Stegostoma tigrinum: one gene and its partners. The protein of the gene in region 2 purifies or fractionates together with the protein of the main gene of each other region. This does not show direct contact. Links are inferred from orthologs where the notes say so. Each region holds a gene or a part of one and is shown on either strand. Other genes may lie near its edges.

Region 1 (7,455 bases), on a different chromosome or scaffold from region 2:
AGAAAGATCAAGAAGCAACAACCTGATCAGCACAAGAATTATCTCAACAAATCCTGTAACAGAAACCACTGAACTGCTTTCTTAGTCTTTATTTCCACCCATAACATCCACTTCATGTCTGTGTGTGTCTGCATATATGATTAAGCTTGCATTTATATGTGTTTTAATAATGTTTTAATCAGCACAGTTATATTCTGATGGTTCAAAACTGTTTATCTGTAGTTAAAATCTAGAATAGTAATTTTTGTAAAGTACAGAAATCTGGTTTGTGCTTTCTGTCAACCTGGGTGTAAAAGAAAGGTAAGTTAGGGAAATATGCATGCTTTCTACCATCTCTACAATCTTTGTGATGACTTCAGGAAATGCAGGGCATGATTTTCAGCATGCTCGAGGATGGCATTACACATTATTAACTGCTCAGCTACACTCCCTGTAGGATCAATTACTTTGTTAACTCTTTCCCAGTTTAAATATCTATGGAAGCTCAAGTTGCCATGGTGATTAATTCCTATTGACTATAATCTTCATTTGTGTCAAATATCAGCTGGAGAATCCCACTCATAAGTCACATTGAGTGCATTTTGTTGTATCTTTTCTGGTGTGTCATATGCACTATCTGTGGGCTTAACTTCAAAAGAATAAAGAAAAGTTGATGGAATGGGTGAACATTAACAGACAAAATGTGCAGAGAAATGCAAAGTGATCCACTTTGTTGGAAGACCCTGGAGAACATGAGAAAATGATACAATTCTGAAAGGGTGCCTATGTTGTTCAAATGCAAAAAGATCTGGACAATATCAAGATGTGGGCTGACAAGTGGCAAGCATCATTTGAATAGAATCCCTATGGGATTGAAATGAGCCATTCAGCCCAACAAGTCCACACCAACTCTGCAAAGACCATCTCACCCTGCCTCGCGCTGTACCCTATCCCTGTAACCCTTGCATTTCCCACAGCTGATTCCCCTAACTACATATTCCTGGACTTTAAAGCATAGCCAATTCACCCAATCTGCACATCTTTGCACTGTGGGATGAAAACAGAGCACCTGCAAGAAACCCACACAGACACGGGAGAATGTGCAAACTCCACACAGGCTTCAACCCAGGTCCCTGGTGCTGAGGCAGCAGTGCAAATCACTGTGCCACCCTTACTGAATCCACCACTATCAACATCCTGGGAGTTACCGTTGACCAGAAACTCAACTGGATTCACCACATAAACACTGGCTACAAGAGTAGGTCAGAGGCTAGGAATACTGCAGCAAGTAACTCACCTCCTAACTCCCCAGAACTTGTCCAACATCTACAAGGCATAATTCCGGAGTGAGATGAATACTCCCCACTTGCCTGGATGAGTGGAGTTCCAACAACACTCAAGAAACTTACATATCTAGGACAAAACTGCCCACCTGATTGGCCCCATGTCCACAAGCATACACTCCCTCCACCACTGACACTCAGTAGTAACACTGTGTACTATCTACCAGATGCACTGCAGAAATTCACCAAAGATCCTCAGAGGGCACCTTCCAAACCTACATCTGGAAGGACAGGGGAAGCTGTTCCTTCAGTGTCATTCGGTAAAACACCTAGAATTCCCCTCAAATGGCATTGTGGAGTCAACCCACAGCACATGAACTACAGCAGTTCAAGAAGGCAGCTCACCATCGCCTTGTCAAGGGTGACCAGGGATGGGCAATAAACGCTGATGCCAGTGTTCCCCATGTCCCATGAATGAATGAAAGAAAAGGACCCTGGGCTTAGTAATGGATAAATTGTTGAAAATATCTTGCAGGTTGAGGCAGTAGGTAAAATCCTGGCTCATCCAACGATTTATGAATAAAGGCATAGACCACACAAGCAAGGCAGTTGTAATATGTTTGCAAAAAACATTGGTCCAACTGGACGACTCAACTGTTAATTGAAAAAAAATTGCCGGAGAATCTAGGCAGGTCTGGCAGCATCTGTGCAGAGAAAACAAAGTTAATGTTGGAGTCCAATGACCCTTCTTCAGAACTGATGGTACCTAGGAAAAAACAGTATTTATCAAGATGACAGGGGGTCAGGGCAGGAGTGAGCCAAGAGATGGAGATGGATATCAAGACAGAGAGATAGAGATAGAGGGAAAAGTTAGACAGACAGAGGGATTATTAATAGTAAGTGAGGAAAAAGAAAAGCTAGTTTAGCGATAATGGGGGCTATGAGTGAGTGAGAATGGGTTGGCTGTGCTGAAAGCAACTCACGTCATGACAAGTCCTGGGGTGTGGGGGTGGGTAAGAGACATGGAAGGAGGTGTAGCAGGCTTTCAAATGACTGAACTCGGTATTGACTCCTGAAGGGTGCACTGTCCCCAAATGGAAAATGAGATACTATTCCTGCTGCACGTGCTGAGCCTCAATGGAGAACTGTAGCAGGCCAGAGGAAGAAATGTTGGCTAGGGAACACAATGATGTGTTGAAGTGGCAGGCAACTGCAAACTTGGGGCCATCTTTATGGACTGAATGTAGGATCGATTGAAGACATTGGGACTTGTTCTCCTTAGAGAGAAAAGTGCTGAAAGAAAATTTGATAAGGGTTTTCAAAATCATGAGTGGGCTTGATAACATATAGATGGAGAAAACCCGTGCTCAGAAAACAATGACGCCAATGAAATAACTCCACAGAGGCCAGTATTGCATCACCAAGTTACACTTTATATACACGAGGCATGTTCTTGACAGTGATCCACCTCCCTCGAGCCAGCTCTCAGGATGAACAAGGTGTCTGACACTTTCCTACTTATCTCTCAGCCAGAGCTGCCTGATTGGACCAGATTAACAGCCCCAGTTAGGGAACTCATATTCTATGGGTCCACCTGGCTGACCTCATTACAATCACTGTAGGCATAAATTTAAAATGATGTACCAAACAAACAAGGGCGAAGTGAGAAACAATCTATTTCACATAATGAGTTGTTTTGGAAATGTGGTGGAAGTAGGTTCAATAGAGGCATTAATGATGGTATTTAACGATTATTTGGATAGAAATAGTACCCATGGGTATGGGGGAAAAGTAGGAGATTGACATGAAATAATGATGCTTGAAGAGCTGGTGCTGGCATGATGGGCCAAAAGACCTCCTTCTGCACCTTAACAAATCTGTGATTCCAGTTACCAAGTCTCAGGCTCTGCAATTCCCACCTGAAACATTGTTTTCTTTTAAAATGTTCCTGAAAGCCTGATGTACTGAAGGGTGAGCAGTGAGGAGAATGCAGAGATGTTGCAGTGTGATTTGGACAGGCTGAGTGAGTGGACAGATGGATGGCAGATGCACTATAATGTGGTTAAGTGTGAGGTTATCCACTTTGGTAGTGAAAAAGAGGAAGGCAGATTAATGTTTAAATGGCTGTAAATTGAGAGAAATTGTGATTGTACACTAGTTCCTGAAAGTGTGCAAATGTAGTAGGCAATAAAGAAGGCAAACTGTGTGTTAGTCTTTATAGCCACGTCTGGGATTAAAACCAAAAGAACTGCGGATGCTGAGCTTTTCCAGCAATGTTGTTTTTGTTCCACATCTGGAATATTGTATGCAGTTTTGGTCACCTTGTCTGAGGAATGATGCTCTTGCTTTAGAGGGGGCGTGGCAAAGGTTCATCAAATTGATTCCTGGAATGGCAGGGCTAATGTACGAGGAGAGATTGAGTCAGTTAGGATTCACTGGAGTTTTGAAGAATGAGGGGGTTCTCATAGAAACATATTAAATTCTAACATGGCCAGACAGGTTAAATGCAGGAAGAATGTTCCCAGTGGTGGGGTAGTCCAGAACCAGGGGTCATAGTTTTAGGACAAGTGGCAAACCATTCAGGACTGAGATGAGGAGAAATTTCCTCAAGCAGAGAGTGGTGAGCTTCTGGAAATCACTACCACAGAAATGGTTGAGGTTAAAACATTGTGTTTTCAAGAAGCTACTGTGACAAAAAGATTCAAGGGATGGGGGAGTGGGTGGACTTAGGGTATTGAGCTGAATGATCAACCATGATCATATTGAATGACAGAGCAGGTTTGCGGGGACAAATGGCCTCCTCTTGTTCCTATATTCTGTATTTCAATGAAAGGTCAGTGCCCTGAAACATTCAATTTGCTTGATCCACGGGCTGCTACCGAATGTTCCCTCATTTGAGATTTGTCATTACTTTAAAACATTTTTTAGGTCAGCTGGGGTCCGGTCTGAGAGTTTGTCAATGTCCCTATGAAACACTTGCGGACCTCACTCTTCTGCGCGTGAGAGCGCTGAAACATCAGCTTTCCTGCTCCTCTCACGCTGCTTGGCCTGCTGTGTCCATCCAGCTCCACACCGCGTCATCTCAGGTTCTCCAGCATCTGCACTTCCTACTGTCTATGAAAACGTAAGTTGTTGTTGTGCTGGTGGTGGCGGGACAGCGAAAAGCGCGCATGCGCCAAAGACGGAGGCCCTCCCGACCCGCAATTAACCCGCGAGAGAGCGCGCGCATTGCTGTGGCAACGGGGCCAGGCCGAGTCGCGCGTGAAGGGTCCGGTCAGTTAGACAGAGCGCGGGGAGACGGTGGTCAGTCAGTCAGCCCCAGGGGAGGGGTGGGTTCAGTCAGTCAGACAGACAGCCCTGTGGGGGGTGGTCAGTTAGATAGTCGGGGGGAGCGGCGACGGCAGACAGTCAGACAGACAGCCCCGGGGGTGAGCGGCTTGGGGAGGGGAATGGCGCTGGTGCTGCTGCAGCTCGGACAGTGCGGGAACCAGGTGGGCCAGGAGCTGCTCGAACTGGTCAGCCAGGATGGCCGGAGTGACCGGAGCCGGAGCCGCGCTGACACTTACCGAGCTGTTTCACTGGAGCGCTTCTTCCGGCAGGAGGCTGGGGCTAACGGTGAGGGGCATTGCTGAAGCTTCCTTCACCCATCACTCACCCCCCTGATCCTTCACCCATCCTTCACCCCCCCGATCCTTCACCCATCACTCACCCCCCCGATCCTTCACCCATCACTCACCCCCCCCAATCCTTCGCCCATCACTCACCCCCCCGATCCTTCACCCATCACTCACCCCCCCGATCCTTCACCCATCACTCACCACCCCCCAATCCTTCACCCATCACTCACCCCCCCGATCCTTCACCCATCACTCACCACCCCCCAATCCTTCACCCATCACTCACCCCCCCGATCCTTCACCCCCCCGATCCTTCACCCCCCCGATCCTTCACCCCCCCGATCCTTCACCCCCCCGATCCTCCACCCCGGTCCGATCCTTCACCCATCACTCACCCCACCCCCGATCCTTCACCCCCGCTGATCCTTCGCCCCCCCCCCGATCTTTCACCCCACCCCGATCCTTCGCCCCCCCCCACCGATCCTTCACCCATCACCACCACCCCGATCCTTCACCCCCGCAGATTCTTCACCCCCCCGATCCTTCACTCCCCTCGATCCTTCACCCCCCCGATCCTCCACCCATCACTCACCCCACTGATCCTTCACCACCCCCAAATCCTTCACCCCCCCCGATCCTTCACCCCCCCGAATCTTCACTCCCCCCACGATCGTTCACCCATCACTCACCCCCCCCGATCGTTAACCTATCACTCACCCACCCGATCGTTAACCCATCCCCAACCTCCCCGATCGTTCACCCATCCCTCACCCCCGCCGATCCTTCACCCTTCCCCCGATCCTTCACCCACTCCGATCCTTCACCCCCCCGATCCTTCACCCCCCCGATCCTTCACCCCCCCGATCCTTCACCCCCCTGATCCTTCACCCCCCCCGATCCATCACCCCCCAGATCCTTCACCCCAACCCGATGCTTCGCTGCCCCACCGATCCTTCGCCGCCCCCCCCGATCCTTCACTCCCCTCGATCCTTCGCCCGTCACTCACCCCCCTCGATCTTTCGCCCGTCACTCACCCCCCTCGATCTTTCGCCCGTCACTCACCCCCCTCGATCCTTCGCCCGCCACTCACCCCCCTCGGCCCTTCGCCCGTCACTCACCCCCTCGGCCCTTCGCCCGTCACTCACCCCCTCGGTCCTTCGCCCGTCCCTCACCCCCCTCGGTCCTTTGCCCGTCCCTCACCCCCCTCGGTCCTTTGCCCGTCCCTCACCCCCCTCGGTCCTTTGCCCGTCCCTCACCCCACTCGGTCCTTTGCCCGTCCCTCACCCCCTTCAGTCCTTCGCCCGTCCCTCACCCCACCTCCGATCCTTCGCCCGTCACTCACCCCCCCCGGATCCTTCTCTCATCACTCACCCCACGCCCCCCCGATCCTTCACCCCCGCTGATCCTTCGCCCCTCCGATCCTTTGCCCCCCCCCCACCACCCCGATCCTTCACCCCGCCCCAGATCCTTGAACCCCTGGATCCTTGAACCCCCGGATCTTCACTCCCCCCCCCCCCGATCGTTAACCCATCCCTCACCCCCGCCGATCCTTCGCCCCCCCGCGATCCTTCACCCCAACCCGATCCTTCGCCACCCCCGTTCCTTCACTCCCCTCGATCCTTCACCCCCCCCAGATCCTCCACCCATCACTCACCCCACTGATCCTCCACCACCCCCAAATCCTTCAACCCCCGATCCTTCACCCCCTCCTGAATCTTCACTCCCCCCTCGATCCTTCGCCCGTCACTCACCCGCCTCGATCCTTCGCCCGTCACTCACCCGCCTCGGTCCTTCGCCCGTCACTCACCCGCCCCCCCCCCCGTCCTTCACCCATAACTGACCCCCCCGATCCTTCACCCACTTCCCACACTCACCCCCCCTGATCCTTCACCCACACCCACTCCTCCCCCCGATCCTTCACCCTCTTCCCATACACACCCCCCCTGATCCTTTGCCCTTCTTGTACTCATCCTTGTTCAGTCTTCTTTGCCATCTCCCACATTCTGTACTGCATGGGAATTTCCTTCATTAAACCAACACACCTCAAAATGCACAGCAGCAGGTCACTGAGCTCCTGCCACCCCGTGCCACCTCAGCCTATTACATGAATGTTCTGCTGTAACACATTTTTACTAACGTGGACAGTTAATGTGGTAAACCTACTCACTTGAGCGCTGTCTTCTCTGGTACACTTTTTACAAATGCAATCAGTGTGAAATATTACAAAAAGCATGTCCAATCTTCAGGCCACACTTGTGTTGAATGTGACCCCTGGTATTTTTGCTTCACCTGAAAGAATGTTCTGTTCAAACTGAAACAACATGTATTTTATATTTAGAACAGCATTTATTTTAGATTTCGAACAGAATTTATTCGATTGCTGGCAGTGGCAACAACATCTACTGCATCTAAAATGAAAAACAGAATTTGCTGGAGAAGGTCAGATTTGGCAGCATCTGTTAATGTTAAGGAGATAGTAGGAACTGCAGATTTTGGAGAATCTGAGATAACAAGGTGTAGAGCTGGATGAACACAACAGGCCAAGCAGCATCAGTGGATCAGGAACCCTTCTCTAG
Region 2 (7,334 bases):
GTAAGAGGAAGTATATAAAAAAAAGTTAAGGCCACAATCAAATCAGCTACAAAGATACCACAGGCTTAAGAGATCAATGACTTAGTCAAGCTCCAAATTTGTAAGTTCATAACCCTCAGAGAACTCAAATTATTCAAATTTTGGCCTCCTGTACATTTCCTTCAGCTCATCACTGAGCCATATCCATCAACTGTTTCTGCTCTATACTAGCCAAGCCTCTTCCCCTCCTTCTAGATTTAATTTTAATTTTTTTTGGGTATGAACTTTTAAAAATGAATCAACTTTCTCTAGATTCTGCAAAATTAGCCACCTTGTAACCTCTCCTCAGTCTCCTGGCCCAAAAAAAAAGTCTTTCTTTCTTTCTGCGCTCTGTATACTACAATCTCATATTTCCTGCAGCATAGGGGTCAGAACGACATGCTGCCAGGTCTGAGGAAGAGTCACCAACCCAAAACGTTAACTCCGTTTTTTCCTTCAGTTGCTGCCAGACCTGCTGGGCTTTTCCAGAATAATGAGAGATAATGGGAACTGCAGATGCTGGAGAATTCCAAGATAATAAAATGTGAGGCTGGATGAACACAGCAGGCCAAGCAGCATCTCAGGAGCACAAAAGCTGATGTTTCGGGCCTAGACCCTTCATCAGAGAGGGGGATGGGGAGAGGGAACTGGAATAAATAAGGAGAGAGGGGGAGGCGGACCGAAGATGGAGAGTAAAGAAGATAGGTGGAGAGAGTATAGGTGGGGAGGTAGGGAGGGGACAGGTCAAGGAGGTGGGATGAGGCTAGTAGGTAGCTGGGGGTGCGGCTTGGGGTGGGAGGAAGGGATGGGTGAGAGGAAGAACCGGTTAGGGAGGCAGAGACAGGTTGGACTGGTTTTGGGATGCGGTGGGTTAAGAGCTGGGCTGGTTGTGTGGTGCAGTGGGGGGAGGGGACAAACTGGGCTGGTTTAGGGATGCAGTAGGGGAAGGGGAGATTTTGAAACTGGTGAAGTCCACATTGATACCATTAGGCTGCAGGGTTTCCAGGCGGATTATGAGTTGCTGTTCCTGCAACCTTTGGGTGGCATCATTGTGCACTGCAGGAGTCCCATGATGGACATGTCATCAAGAGAATGGGAGGGGGAGTGGAAATGGTTTGCGACTGGGAGGTGCAGTTGTTTGTTGCGAACTGAGCGGGGGTGTTCTGCAAAGCGGTCTCCAAGCCTCCGCTTGGTTTCCCCAATGTAGAGGAAGCCGCACCGGGTACAATGGATGCAGTATACCACATTGGCAGATGTGCAGGTGAACGTCTGCTTAATGTGGAATGTCATCTTGGGGCCTGGGATAGGGGTGAGGGAGGAGGTGTGGGGGCAAGTGTAGCATTTCCTGCGGTTGCAGGGGAAGGTGCCGGGTGTGGTGGGGTTGGAGGGCAGTGTGGAGCGAACAAGAGAGTCACGGAGAGTGTGGTCTCTCCGGAAGGCAGACAGGGGTGGGGATGGAAAAATGTCTTGGGTGGTGGGGGCGGATTGTAAATGGCGAAAGTGTCGGAGGATGATGCGTTGTATCGGAGGTTGGTGGGGTGGTGTGTGAGAACGAGGGAGATCCTCTTTGGGCGGTTGTGAGGGATGTGTTGCGGGAAATACGGGAGACGCGGTCAAGGGCGTTCTCGATCACTGTGGGGGGAAAGTTGCGGTCCTTAAAGAACTTGGCTTTTCCAGAAACTTTGTTTTTGTTCCTGATTTACAGCATCTGTAGTAGTTTTGGTTTTTATTATACTGTAAGTGTACCATTTAATACAATACTGACATAACCTTAGATTTAAGGTGGAGCATGAACATGGGATGGTTGGACTTTCGTTTGTGTGCTGTATACCCCAAGTCAACTTCCCACCTCTTACATTGCATGGCCCTGCTAATCCTCTATTCCATGCCTCAACAGCCTTATCCACCTGAGGTAGGAGACTTGGGTTGTTGGCAACGATAAAAATGCAAGAGGCAGTTGTTGTCGAATGAAGGGTCCAGGCCTAAAATGTCAGCTTTCCTGCTCGGCCTGTGTTCTTCCAGCTCTATACCTTGTTATCTCAATTTGTTCACGTTGTCAAGATAACAAAGTGTGAAGCTGGATGAACACAGCAGGCCCAGCAGCATTTCAGGAGCACAAAAGCTGTTTCGGGCCTACACCCCTCTCTGATGAAGGGTCTAGGCCCGAAACGTCAGCTTTTGTGCTCCTGAGATGCTGCTGGGCCTGCTGTGTTCATCCAGCCTCACATTTTATTATCTTGGATTCTCCAGCATCTGCAGTTCCCATTATCTCTCGTTCACATTTTCGTAGGATTTGGGCGGAGGGGGCAGGCTACGCCTGCGCACACTTCGACAATGAAGCCCCGCCCTCAGGAGTGCTGGAACTTTCGGCGGCGCCGCTTTTATCCGCTATTTTGAGGCAGCGGGACATCGGTAACACTCCGCCGGATAAGAGGTCGGTGTGAAGGGGGGGGGGGGTCTGGGGGTTTTGTCGGACGCAGAGTCTGTGTTTTCAAATTTATTTGTCCCCGATCAGAGCCGATTCCGGTGCTGTCAGCCTGAAGCCTCTTCCCAATCTGCCCTGCCCAGCCACACACAAAACAAAGATTCCATCCCATCGGTGGATAGGTGCTGAGGGTAGGGTCTGGGGAGAAGAAACCGCTGCCCAGCCCAGGGGGTGGGGGAGGCGATCGGCCCCGGCATCGTGAATATTCGCAACACGTGCCCGACTGAGACGGAAAACGAGAAGATTGAGGATTCAACTTCAACATACACACAGACACCACCCCGCCCCCCGGTTACCCAGCTTTTCGGATACCGAGGGAAGGGAAGCGACTCTCGCTCGGTGTGGGGACACGGCGAATACTCAGCCCGCAGACACCTACCATCTCGGGAGCTCGAGAGTCGCCGTCCGCTCAGCTTCGACCCAACCGCCGGAAGCCGCGACCTCCCTGAACCCGGAAGTTGGCCGCGCCTCCAGAGCCCGGATCGACGACCCCGCTTCTTGGTGGCGGGATCAACAGCGCGCAGACTCAATGGATCATTATCCTAGATAATAAAATGTGAGGCTGGATGAACACAGCAGGCCAAGCAGCATCTCAGGAGCATGCTCCTGAGATGCTGCTTGGCCTGCTGTGTTCATCCAGCCTCACATTTTATTATCTTGGAATCTCCAGCATCTGCAGTCCCCATTATCTCGGATCATTATCCTACCCGGCCCCCGGGAACAGAACAGAAACTTAATGTCACGTGAAAAATACAATGAATAGTTTTATAAGTCGTCCCACCACAGCACCTACAATGACAGATGTTACACAAGTAAAATTAGGACGAAGTTCGTCACAGTTTAGTTAATGGTTCCAGTTAACGCTACCCCGTGCACCACACAACCAGCCCAGCTCTTCCCCTCCACCCACTGCATCCCAAAACCAGTCCAACCTGTCTCTGCCTCCCTAACCGGTTCTTCCTCTCACCCATCCCTTCCTCCCACCCCAAGCCGCACCTCCATCTCCTACCTACTAACCTCATCCCACCTCCTTGACCTGTCCCCTCCCTACCTATACTCTCTCTCCACCTATCTTCTTTACTCTCCTTCGGTCCGCCTCCCCCTCCCTATTTATTCCAGAACCCTCACCCCATCCCCCTCTCTGATGAAGGGTCTAGGCGCGAAATGTCAGCTTTTGTGCTCCTGAGATGCTGCTGGGCCTGCTGCGTTCATCCAGCCTCACATTTTATTATCTCGGATTCTCCAGCATCTGCAGTTTCCATTATCACCCGTGCATCATCTACCGCCTACCCACACAATTCAAAAAACTCAATTCAAAAGAAAAGCCCAAACTCATGGATCATGTCACGTGTTTGTTGAAGTTAAAGTTCCCGCTACGTTCATGGTGCAACAGAACTAATCCAACAGATTAAAAAAAAGTTATCAGCTGAATCATCAGATACCAATATCAAATGCCTGGGCCAACTAAAGATTCATGCATAATTAACTGTCAGTGCCCACTCTGCCACTTAATGTGGCCTCAAATCCCATATAGTTGCAGATTTTGGTGAAGTGTTGCTAAAAACAAAATCTTTGTACATCTAGTTTATCTCCCAACATTCTCCTTGATCTAATTATTCTAAAGCCAGTCTAGATGACTCTTCATTAGAGCTAAAGGGAACTGGGGAAGGGGCAACTTTTTTGCAATAGTTGGGTGGGCAGGGTCAGAAGTGTTGGGGGAGAAAGGATGTTGATGGTTCAGATGAAGTGATGGAAATGCAAGAAAGGAAGAACAATGTTGTGTTTAACTGCCAGACATTTTCACATTCTGATTACTTTTTCACTTTGCTCCCAGCTGACATTAGCAGTTCTTATAAAGTGCATGACATGTCCTTGGATTCCAGCAAAAAGTTTTTTCTTGTAGTCACTTATGGTGCATCAGGACATCCAATTCTGACATTATTTGACCTGGCAGCCCATCAATGCTAGTTAAGTGGCATTCTGACCAAATTTAGCAGCAGGAGGAGGGGAAAAAAGGAAGATAAAATGACAAAAAGAAATTATGTGGAGGGTTTGAAACTCATTACTTACGATTTACAGAAAGCTGGAGTAGTCCATCACTCATCTACCTGGGTTGGAGTGATTGCCAAAACCCTGAGATGAAAGATCACACCATTCTATCCAATTTCATCTCAGCTACCTGCCAGGTCTTTGATTTTAATTTTGTTAAATGTATCCCTACCTTTTTCCACAATACCATCACAAAACCAGTTTTACTAAGAGAATACCAATGAATCCGTATCCATTATGCTTCCTTTTTGTGGGGTCTCAGGGCCAAGGTGCAGGATTTAATCTTTCCAAAGGCCTTGAACACACTTTTAATGTCATCTTCTGACAGACTCAGGCGAACTGACTTGACATAAACTCTCTTAAATGCCCTTACTTCCTCTGCAAGATTGGCAGTGATTGGTTCAGCTTGTGCTATGCTACTCTGCCTGCCAACCTTAATGTTTCTGGATGTTGATGCAGTGGATTAATTAGGTTATTAGCCACCCTGCCCCCCACCTGGGAGGTGTGTCAGTTATGTTATTTACTGCTCCATCCCCACTAGACCATTGCCTCCCCCCAACTCCATCAGAGGTGCACTAGTTAGTTAGGGTACACCCCCACTCCTCACGGTGGAGTTGTTCGAGTGGTGCAAACAAGAACAGAAATTGGAGAAACTCAGGTCTGGCAGTGTCTGTGGGGGGTAATTAGAGTTAGTGTTTCAAGTCCAGCCCAATTTTATTTTTGGGTGGAGGGGGTCACTGGACTTGAAACATTTACTCCATTTTCTTTCTACAGATGCTGTCAGACCTGCTGAGTTTCTCCAGCTTTTTCTGTTTTTGTTTGTTTCAAATCTTCAGCACCCACAATTGTTTTCTTACATCATTAAGATGGTTATTGGTGAGGTACCCTTCCCTTTCCTAGGGTCGTCAGTGGGTTACATAGTTAGTTAGACAGGTACCCTGTTGAGGTGGTGGGTTACTGAATTAGCTAGGTATCCTCCAGCAAGCCTAGCTGCAGAGGTGGGTTAGCTAGTCAGTTAGGTACCATTCATCCCCCTTCCTTGGGTTGAGGCAGTGGGTTATGTCGTTCAGATTTGCTTGCCATGTGTCCTAGCTTGGCAATGATGGCTTTAGTCAGTCTCCACTATATTGCCTCCCTCTTTGCTCTTGAGAGGCAGCTTTCCACAATAGGAATAAATGTGAATAAAGTGTCTGGGAGACTGTTGTTATTCAGCACAAAAAAAGTTTATTAATCATACACCGTTAAGTACAATGCTCATTTTGCAAGATGCAGCTTATTCCACAGGGAATTTCCAAGAGCCAGTAAACACTAAAGCTCTGGGCAGCTGCCAAATACATAAACCATGATTTGTTTAAAAAAAATTTGGTTTTACTTCAAAACTAGAGGACTGATGTAAACCCAGTAATGTGTTGCAGTTACAAATGTTTGTAAAATCATCAATCTCATGCTACAAAAAGTATTGGCACTTCTGACATTTGACAACCTCAGGCACAAAATATATGGGCATTCCTTAAAACCAACAATTTTGGCAAACCTGAAATGCAAACAATATAATATGGTAACTTCTAACTAATTCTTTGTTTGAGTACATCTCATACTCAGTTATGACAAAGAGCATTGCAAGAAAACATGGAATGTTTGCAACTCAAACACCAAAGGGGCTAAAATATATATATAGAAAAATGTACAACAAAGTTAAGTATTGATGTGCGCCACTCTGAGCTTTGTACTATTTTGTGTCCTATGTAAAAATAATTTTAAACTATTTTACTACTTTTATACAATCACTACATTTATGCAAGACTATCATTTTATAATGCTTGTTAGAAAAATTTACAGTATTGTACAATACAAAAATAGCCAAGCAACATTAAATGTAAGTTTTCATCCTTTAGTGTACTTTATAGTCTAGGAATGGAGGGTCTCTGTTTCTTCTTTGCAATTATTAAATGGCACCATCACTGACTAAAGGTTTAATATGATAATTTATAATCATGTCAAAAGTATTCTAATTTTCAGTCGGACAAAATCGCAATTTCATTTTCAGAATGTGATTCCATTCAACAAATTAGACCTGAACGAAACTGGTAAAAGAAAGTGAACTATTTGAAGCAAAAAGAGCAGCATTGATAGCAAGGTATTTTGAACATGATGGCTACAAGGCGCAAACATGATGTTTAAATCTTGTTCAAAAACATCCTTTGAAACTAAGGATATGCTGCATGATACATCCTCAGCAATGTTATATTACTGCTTGGTCAAAGTGATTAATGCACATTTATACATAGATTCTGGTGGCAAAATCAAGTTGTATACCAGCATCAGTTAAGTCTAATGAGACACATAGCAATCTCAATAGAAACTGCAGAAAATAAATTTAGTTAGGTATGCCATTTGCCTGCAAAGAATACACATACCGTATAAAAGATCTGTAAGATTGCTGGAAAAGCCCACAAAGTAGTAGACCTAAATATCTGCATTCATGTCACGTTCATGGGAGTGGCATTTAATTCCAATACTGCTGGAAAGAATTAGTACTGTAAGTTATCCAGTTCTAAAACCTAAGTTTAAACTGTAGAATGATAAGTCGAAAAGGGTGTTCTTATGGAGTTCCTGCTCTGCATGAATTCCCTTTAAACTGGTATAGCATGTAAGGCTCAAAATACAATATTCCTATAACTTTTCCTTAATTAAGTCTATTAATTTGTCAAATTTTAGAAGAGAGAACTCGGTCTGTCTCTTTATTTAACAAAGGTGCAACTGAACAAAATAGTGCTTCCTT
Region 3 (7,076 bases), on a different chromosome or scaffold from region 2:
ATGAGGAGGGCATAAAAGCCCTCTGTTTCTTCCTCTGTCACAGGCACAACCTGTTCCCCTCCACCAACTCTCTCATTCGCTTGGCAGAACTAGTCCTTACCCTCAACAGTTATTCCTTTGACTCCTTCCACTTCCTACAAATTAAGAGGGTAGCTATGGGCACTCGCATGGGTCCGAGCTATGCCTGCCTCTTTGCCGGATTGGTGGAACAGTACCTCTTCCGCAGACACACTGGCACCATCCCTCACCTCTTCCTCCGCTACATTGATGACTGTATTGGTGCTGCCTCATGCCCCCATGAGGAGTTTGAACAGGTCATCAACTTCAGCAACACCTTTCACCCCAATCTCAAATTCACCTGGACCAACTTGACACCTCCCTTCCCTTCCTGGACCTCTGCGTCTCCATCTCTGGCAACCGAATTCCATTTCAAACCCACCGACTGCCACAGCTATCTTGACCATACCTCCTCTCACCTATCCTCTTGCAAAAATATGATCCCATACTCCCAATTCTTCTGCCTCTGTCACATCTGTCCTGTGATGAAGCGTTCCACTCCCAGACATCCCAGATGTCATCCTTCAAGGACCATAATTTCCCCACTCCTGTGATTCAGAATTCCCTCAACCACATCTCCTCATTTCCTGCACTTCTGCCCTCAAATCCCCTTCCCCTATCCCTGGTCCTCACATTCTACCCCACCAATCTGCAAATCCAATGCATCATCCTGTGCCATTTTTGTCACCTGCGATTTCACCCCACCACCGAAAAGATATTTCCCCATCTCTATCTGCCTTCTGTAGGGACTGCTCACTCTGTCGTCAGCTGCACGTGCCCCACCAACTTTCCCACCACACCTGGCATCCTGCCCTGCAACTGAAGGAGGTGCTACATCTGCCCCTATGCATTCCCTCTCAGCTGCATCCAAGGTCCCAAACAATCATTCCATATCCAGCAGAGATTCAATTGTATGTCTTCTAACCTGATCGACTGTATCAGTTGCTCCCAATGCGGTCTTCCCTATATAAGGGAGACCAAGCACTGATTCAGGGGCCAATTTGCACAGCATCTACACCCGGTACGCTCCAATCAATGCCACCTTCCGGTTGCTAGCCATTTCAACTCCCCATCCTACTGCCTTGGCAACATATCCATCCTGGGCCTCCTCCACAGTCAAAATGAGGCGATACATAAACTGGAAGAGCAATGCCGTACATTCCCCCTCAGGAGCTTACAGCCCAATGGCCTCAACATAGACCTCACCAGCTTCAAAATCTCCCCACCACCAGCCTCGACCCACGTCCAGCCCTACCTCTCATCCCCGCCTCTTTGACCTGTTACAACCTGTCCATCTTCCTTCTCATCCATTCACTCCACCCTTCCCACTGACCAATCTCTTCAATTCCCTACCTGCATTTACCTATCATCATACGCACTCCTTCCTCCAGCCCAACCTCGCCCGTTTATTTCTGAGCTCCCTTCCCCTCCCCAGTCCAGGTGAAGGGTCCGGACTCGAAACATTGACTTTCCTGCTCCTCTGATACTGCCTGACCTGCTGTGCTCCTTCAGCTCCACATTTTATCGATTCTATTTGACCTTTCTTCTTTTTTACCACCCAAATAGTGGTAAACAAGAGAAAAACTCTGCCCCGCTTCTCCAATTATGCAATTTTATAAGTCTCAAGAATTATACTTTTCTGTTGATACAAAGATGCTACCCAAAACAAGCACTAAACAATACTCGTAGGAGAAGCCAAGGGAACAGGGTGATAGTTCACAAGATCGCCAACAGTTATGTTTTGAGCGTAATGAAACACATATCTCACTCAGTGCAACAAGAGCAACACTCAATAAACTTAACTGCATCTAGTGTGGAGCAATTTTTGAATATCATCTATGCCATTGCACTCAACATGCTTCCATTTGACTCCTTCCCAGGTATATAAAGTGACAGGACTGAAAGACAGTTCACACAAAAACAAAATGTTGACAAGTTCTGCTTTTGGAAGGAGCAAATGCACTTGTACAAACTCGTTATGGTCCTAGTAGTTATGCCTGATTGAAAATATTTGCACTCATTGTTGTAATGCAGTAAACCTTGTTATCTGAGAACAGTGCCTCTTCTGTAGATAGTCCATGGTGCTGGATCCTCCTACCAAGAATCACGAGATAGGTAGAGAAAAGAAATGAACACTGTTTGTAGCAGATTGCCGCAAACAATCTTGACTCAGCACCACGTATTGTAAAGGTGGTAGTTACTACAAGGAAATAGGAATAGTCCTCTAAGAAAATAACACACATTCCATCGTTCAAACCTTGTGGCAATAACACATGCAATTTTAGAGTTGTATGGAAAGCTTTCCAGTCCTACTACGAGTGCAAACAGAACAACAATAACCACAAGAAAACTGTCACCTATAAGTTTTCCTCCAAGTCACAAACTATCTTTATTTTGGCCTGTACTCCTTCACCATTCTGGACCTTCTTATGGCACCCTCATTACTAAGGCTAAACGTAAGGTCTCAGTCATCAATAAACGTTGCCTTGTTTGAATAATGTAATATCGTGAGAAACAAAAACTGCAACCCACCAAACAGTTTCTAGTACCAAAAATGACATGATAGTCACAATTTAAATAAAGGAAAGGGTAAATACATGGCAATAAATACGCTTCTAACCATGATTAGAATAAGTAAACTATAAATTGCAACATAGTTTAATAAATTACAATAGCATATTGATATTTTTAAATTATAATGTTTACCTGATGCTAAAGGAGAGCTTTTGAGATGCAGATTTGCGACTGTAATAGGAAGCAACTATTTGATAAAATGCTGTATTTTTCCTCCACAGTTTTGGCATTTGTACTTTTCATAAACTGTTGGAAGGAAAAGTAGTTGCCAAATTCCCCTTCTTAAAATAATAATCATAAAAAGCAAGATTGAATCTTGATGCTCTCCGAAATGTCTTTTTGCAGTATTGATCCCAGCTCTTTTGCATCATTTCCTCCTTTGCACTTTCTACTTCCGCCTTGAATGATTGACAAGCGGGCGGATGGGCTGAAACCACAGCCAATCAGAGATCAGATCACGGGTCAGCCGCGATAGCGCATGCGCAGATTCACGCGACTGCCATATGTCTGAAAGAGATTTTAAAAAGTGACAGTGAGGCAACAGTGTAAAAAAATGGGGAAAAAACAGAAAAACAAGAGTGAAGATAAGTGAGTGTTGAGCTGTTTACTTTTCTGTTTATTCGTTACTGAAGAGGCTGGTTGCCGTGAGCGATGGAAGGAATTGAGGGAGTATGTTGCTTGACTAGGCCGCTGGACGGATCTGCTCCTACTGCTCGAGTGCGGAGGAGTCCGGGTCCCTACCGCTAACATGACGCAAGAGGGGCAGGCCCGCGGGCTACTGACTGGGGTTAACGTTAGTCTGTTTTGTAGAAATGGGAGACTTCGAGGTTGTCTTCACCCCCTTCCTCCGTGATCCTCCTTTACGTTTTCAAGGAACCTGATAAACCATAGGCTTAGAATTTGTTTCTACGTATGATTTTTATCCAATAATTTTACGGTCATGTCAAAAGTGGATATAACATACGTTGCAGTTTTCTTTTCCTAAACGTTATGGGCCATATCTAGAAGATATTACTCTGATGCAGACTTTATATTGATTTGACTCATTATGGACTTTTTAAGTATGTTAACATTCCTGTTGAAGTGACAAAGACACGCTAGGTGAACATAATATCAGTACAATAATTTCTAGACTGAAGATTAATATAGAATATAATTTAGGCCTTCGTTATGATATCAGATGCAAATCAGATGCCAGACAATGACTCCTTATGTTGCCTTGTCTGTATCCATTTGTTATCTTCTACTCTGTGACCCTGGACTATATGGTGTATATTAATCATAATTATGTGTAAATATTTGCAATCAGCCTGTGCAGATTTGTTATGACACACCTCTGGAACCAGGCCTCCTGGCTTAGAAGTTGGGATACCATTGCTGTGCCACTAAGGCCCTTCCATAATCCTGTTTACAATCAAAAATAGAATTCCAAGCATATGAGAATACTTGGTGAGCCCTTTGTTGATTTATTAGCATTGAAGTATCTGAATAGAGAAGTCTTATCATCTAAATATCTAGTTAGATTTGCCTTATTCTAAATGTCACCCACATTTGTGATCAACTTGTCCATTGAAAATTAGTTTGCTTGTTTAATTAACTGCCTATTCATTGACTGTCTGTACCCGTATTCTCCAATTCGATGGAAAGTGTTCCTCATATGTCAATAAATAGAAATAAGTTCACCCGTGGGCTGGAATGACCCTGCACATCTTGTGACCACTATGTGGGACTTGGATGTATTTTCTTGCATCTTATCAGGCATTCAATCCCACGATGAGCAATATAAAAGTATTCACATGCAAGTTTTTAAACTTCAGTGCTTGCTAGAAAATTTGGATGCTCAGAAAGGGCACGGACTAGTGGTATTAGCAGTAGTCTTAATAATTTGGGGTTCAAATCCCACCGTGGCAAATGGTGGATTTTGGATACATTTAACAGACATGTGATCACCGTGAAACTGGTGTGGTTTGTTAGAAAAACCCATCTCATTCACTAATATTCTTCAGGGAAGGAAATTTGCCAATCTTACCTGGTCTGACCCATGTGTGATTCCAATTCTCAGCAATAGGGTTAACTCTTAACTGTCCTCAGGGCAATTAGGGAGGGCAATAAAGGCTACTGTAGTCAGCAATGCCCTCCTATGATGGGATTTTTAAAAAAGTATTATTTAATAGTAGCCATCATATTACATTTATCAGCAGGGTCTACAGCTTTTTTAAATCATAAAATTTGGCAACTGGAATTTGCTAATTGATTTATTACTGAAAATTATGAAACAAGTTGTCACCATTAATCATTAGTGACGGACACTAAATGCAGAAGGTGAGAGATTGATAATGATTGATGTATGGTTGTTTGTGGGAGAAGGAACGATTGTGAGAAGCAGAGATCTTGAGAGAGATTACGTATTGGTGTGTGTAGATCAAGAAACATGAAGTGAGAGAGGAAGGGGTGCATGAATGAATAATCTAGATTTCAGGAAATGAAAAATATCAAATGTGCTAAATTTTGAACACAGGCACAATACTGCAGATGCTGGAAATTGGAAATAAATAATAAAATGCTGCAAATGCACGTTCGGTATTATAGAATTTGTGGAAAGTAATAGTTAACATTTCATCAGACCTGAATCGGAGTTAGAATAATCAGCTTTCAAGGAGAAATATGGGCAGGGGAAGGTTTTAAAACAAAAACAAGAGGGAAGCTCATTAGTTGGAGAAACTCTCAATCTCCAAAGAAGTGGTTCTTATTAAATTATTGGAACTTAGGCCTGTCAATTGCCCCGATCCTGATGAACTTCAACCAATGGTCCTAAAAGAAGCGGCTAATGAATGAGATGGTACAGATTTCAAGTGATTTGCAAAATAAAAACGTGATTTGAGAAAAGAACTTCCTCACACAACGATTGAGTCATGTTCAGTAGTTGAACACTTGTAGTGAGAACTGAGGTGGAAGCAAGTTTAATTGAGGCATTCAATGGCACTAGATGATTCTTTCTATTAAATAATGTGCAAGATTTTGGGAAGCAGGCAGGAGAGTGGCGCTGAGTTATAATTCCCATTTGGAAAGCTGCTGAAGACAGGAGGGGTTGAATGGCCTCCTGCTGCACTGTAACACTTCAGTGACTCTGAAGGGAAATATAAAATGGGTTGCAGCAACAAGATGTCCTCTGGGACAAGGAGGCAGAGATAGAAATGCCTTCCTAGAAAGATAGAACCATTTAGAAGACTAATGGGTAGGTAAGTGTATTTCAGAGAGATAAGCATGCCCAGTGGAGAGAAAAGGTGTGCATCAGCCTTGATTTACCACTGCAGTTTAGCAATTTAAAAAAAAAGACAGTGCAGAAGAAAAACCCTGTGTGGCAAAAAGTTAGGTGACAGGAGAATGTGGGCAGCACGAAGGCTCGGTAGTTAGCTCTGCTGCCTCACAACACCAGGGACCTGAGTTCAGTTCCACTCTCGGGCCACTAGCTGTGTGGAGTTTGCACATTCTACCTGTGCCTGCGTAGGTTTTCTCCGGGTGCTCTGGTTTCCTCCCACAGTCCAAAAACGTGCAGACTAGATGGATTGGCCATGCTAAATTGCCCGTGGTGTTCAGGGAGGTGTAGATTAGGTGGGTTATGACGAGAGGGGTGAATGGGTCTGGGTGGAATGCTCTGAGGGTCAGTGTGGATTTTTTGGGCCAACGGGCCTGTTTCCACACTATAGGAGTTCTGTGATGATGATCTATGAATATCTTACAAGGCCATTGAATGCACAATTTAAGTGAACACCTCGTGAGGAATAAATCGGTTATGTTAGCAGCTTAATGGTCTCCTGAAGAAATCTGACCTGGACATGATGGTGTAGAGTGAATGCAGAAGTTTGCTGGTAAGAAGCCAAGAATAGCCATGCTTCCTGAACAAGAAGCTTTTAAAGTGGAAAGAGAGTAACTTGGACTTTTAAGGTGAGAGCAAGAAGATTGTATCTTCCTAATATGTGCTAAGAACATTTCAAATAGTTCTTATACAGAGGTAAAGTCACTGTAGTCTTACCAAACTGCAGGACGACTGTCTCATTGGAGAAGCACAGCTGGTGGTATTTTAACCTGAGGGTCACCATGTCTTGGACGAGTGAAGAAGTTGAGAAGTAGAATCCTTCATGGTAACCTCAGCCAGCGTAAGAGTTGAACCCATGCTGTTAGCTTCATTCTGCAGTCCAGCCAACTGAGTTAAACTGATCCCAAAGGCTAAGTTAGAAAAAGGATTTGTCTAATAACATGAACATAAATATATATTTTTTTTGTTAAAAGTAGATTGGCAGCCTCTTTTTAATACATTCAGTTACTGACCACAGTAATAAACCAATTGCCCAAATTCAATTTCTAGTCTATCAAACCAGATTTCAAGTTGATATTAATGGACAAGTTAAATTCCATCAGCTGGGATGATAGCATTGAATGAGTTT

What was found. The genes of interacting proteins can lie anywhere in the genome.
Region 1: the proteins of cct2 (region 2) and tubd1 purify together in Homo sapiens (co-immunoprecipitation; 3 studies listed by BioGRID and IntAct, with this or other methods). This does not show direct contact. The link is inferred for Stegostoma tigrinum from reciprocal best matches to the Homo sapiens genes CCT2 and TUBD1.
Region 3: the proteins of cct2 (region 2) and txndc9 purify together in Homo sapiens (co-immunoprecipitation; 3 studies listed by BioGRID and IntAct, counting the BioPlex papers as one, with this or other methods). This does not show direct contact. The link is inferred for Stegostoma tigrinum from reciprocal best matches to the Homo sapiens genes CCT2 and TXNDC9.

What each region holds. Positions count from the first base shown.
Region 1 is NC_081372.1:527,205-534,659, reverse strand, and holds the start of tubd1 (tubulin delta chain), read left to right. Parts: upstream 1-4,445; 5' UTR 4,446-4,711; coding exon 4,712-4,877; intron 4,878-7,455. UniProt on the Homo sapiens protein: Acts as a positive regulator of hedgehog signaling and regulates ciliary function.
Region 2 is NC_081371.1:45,599,921-45,607,254, forward strand, and holds the start of cct2 (T-complex protein 1 subunit beta), read right to left. Parts: upstream 3,010-7,334; 5' UTR 2,886-3,009; coding exon 2,883-2,885; intron 2,453-2,882; exon of another isoform or gene 2,351-2,452; intron 1-2,350. UniProt on the Homo sapiens protein: Component of the chaperonin-containing T-complex (TRiC), a molecular chaperone complex that assists the folding of actin, tubulin and other proteins upon ATP hydrolysis.
Region 3 is NC_081359.1:59,429,706-59,436,781, forward strand, and holds the start of txndc9 (thioredoxin domain-containing protein 9), read right to left. Parts: upstream 3,011-7,076; 5' UTR 2,764-3,010; intron 1-2,763. Other genes in the region: eif5b (eukaryotic translation initiation factor 5B), read left to right, coding at 3,185-3,219. UniProt on the Homo sapiens protein: Significantly diminishes the chaperonin TCP1 complex ATPase activity, thus negatively impacts protein folding, including that of actin or tubulin.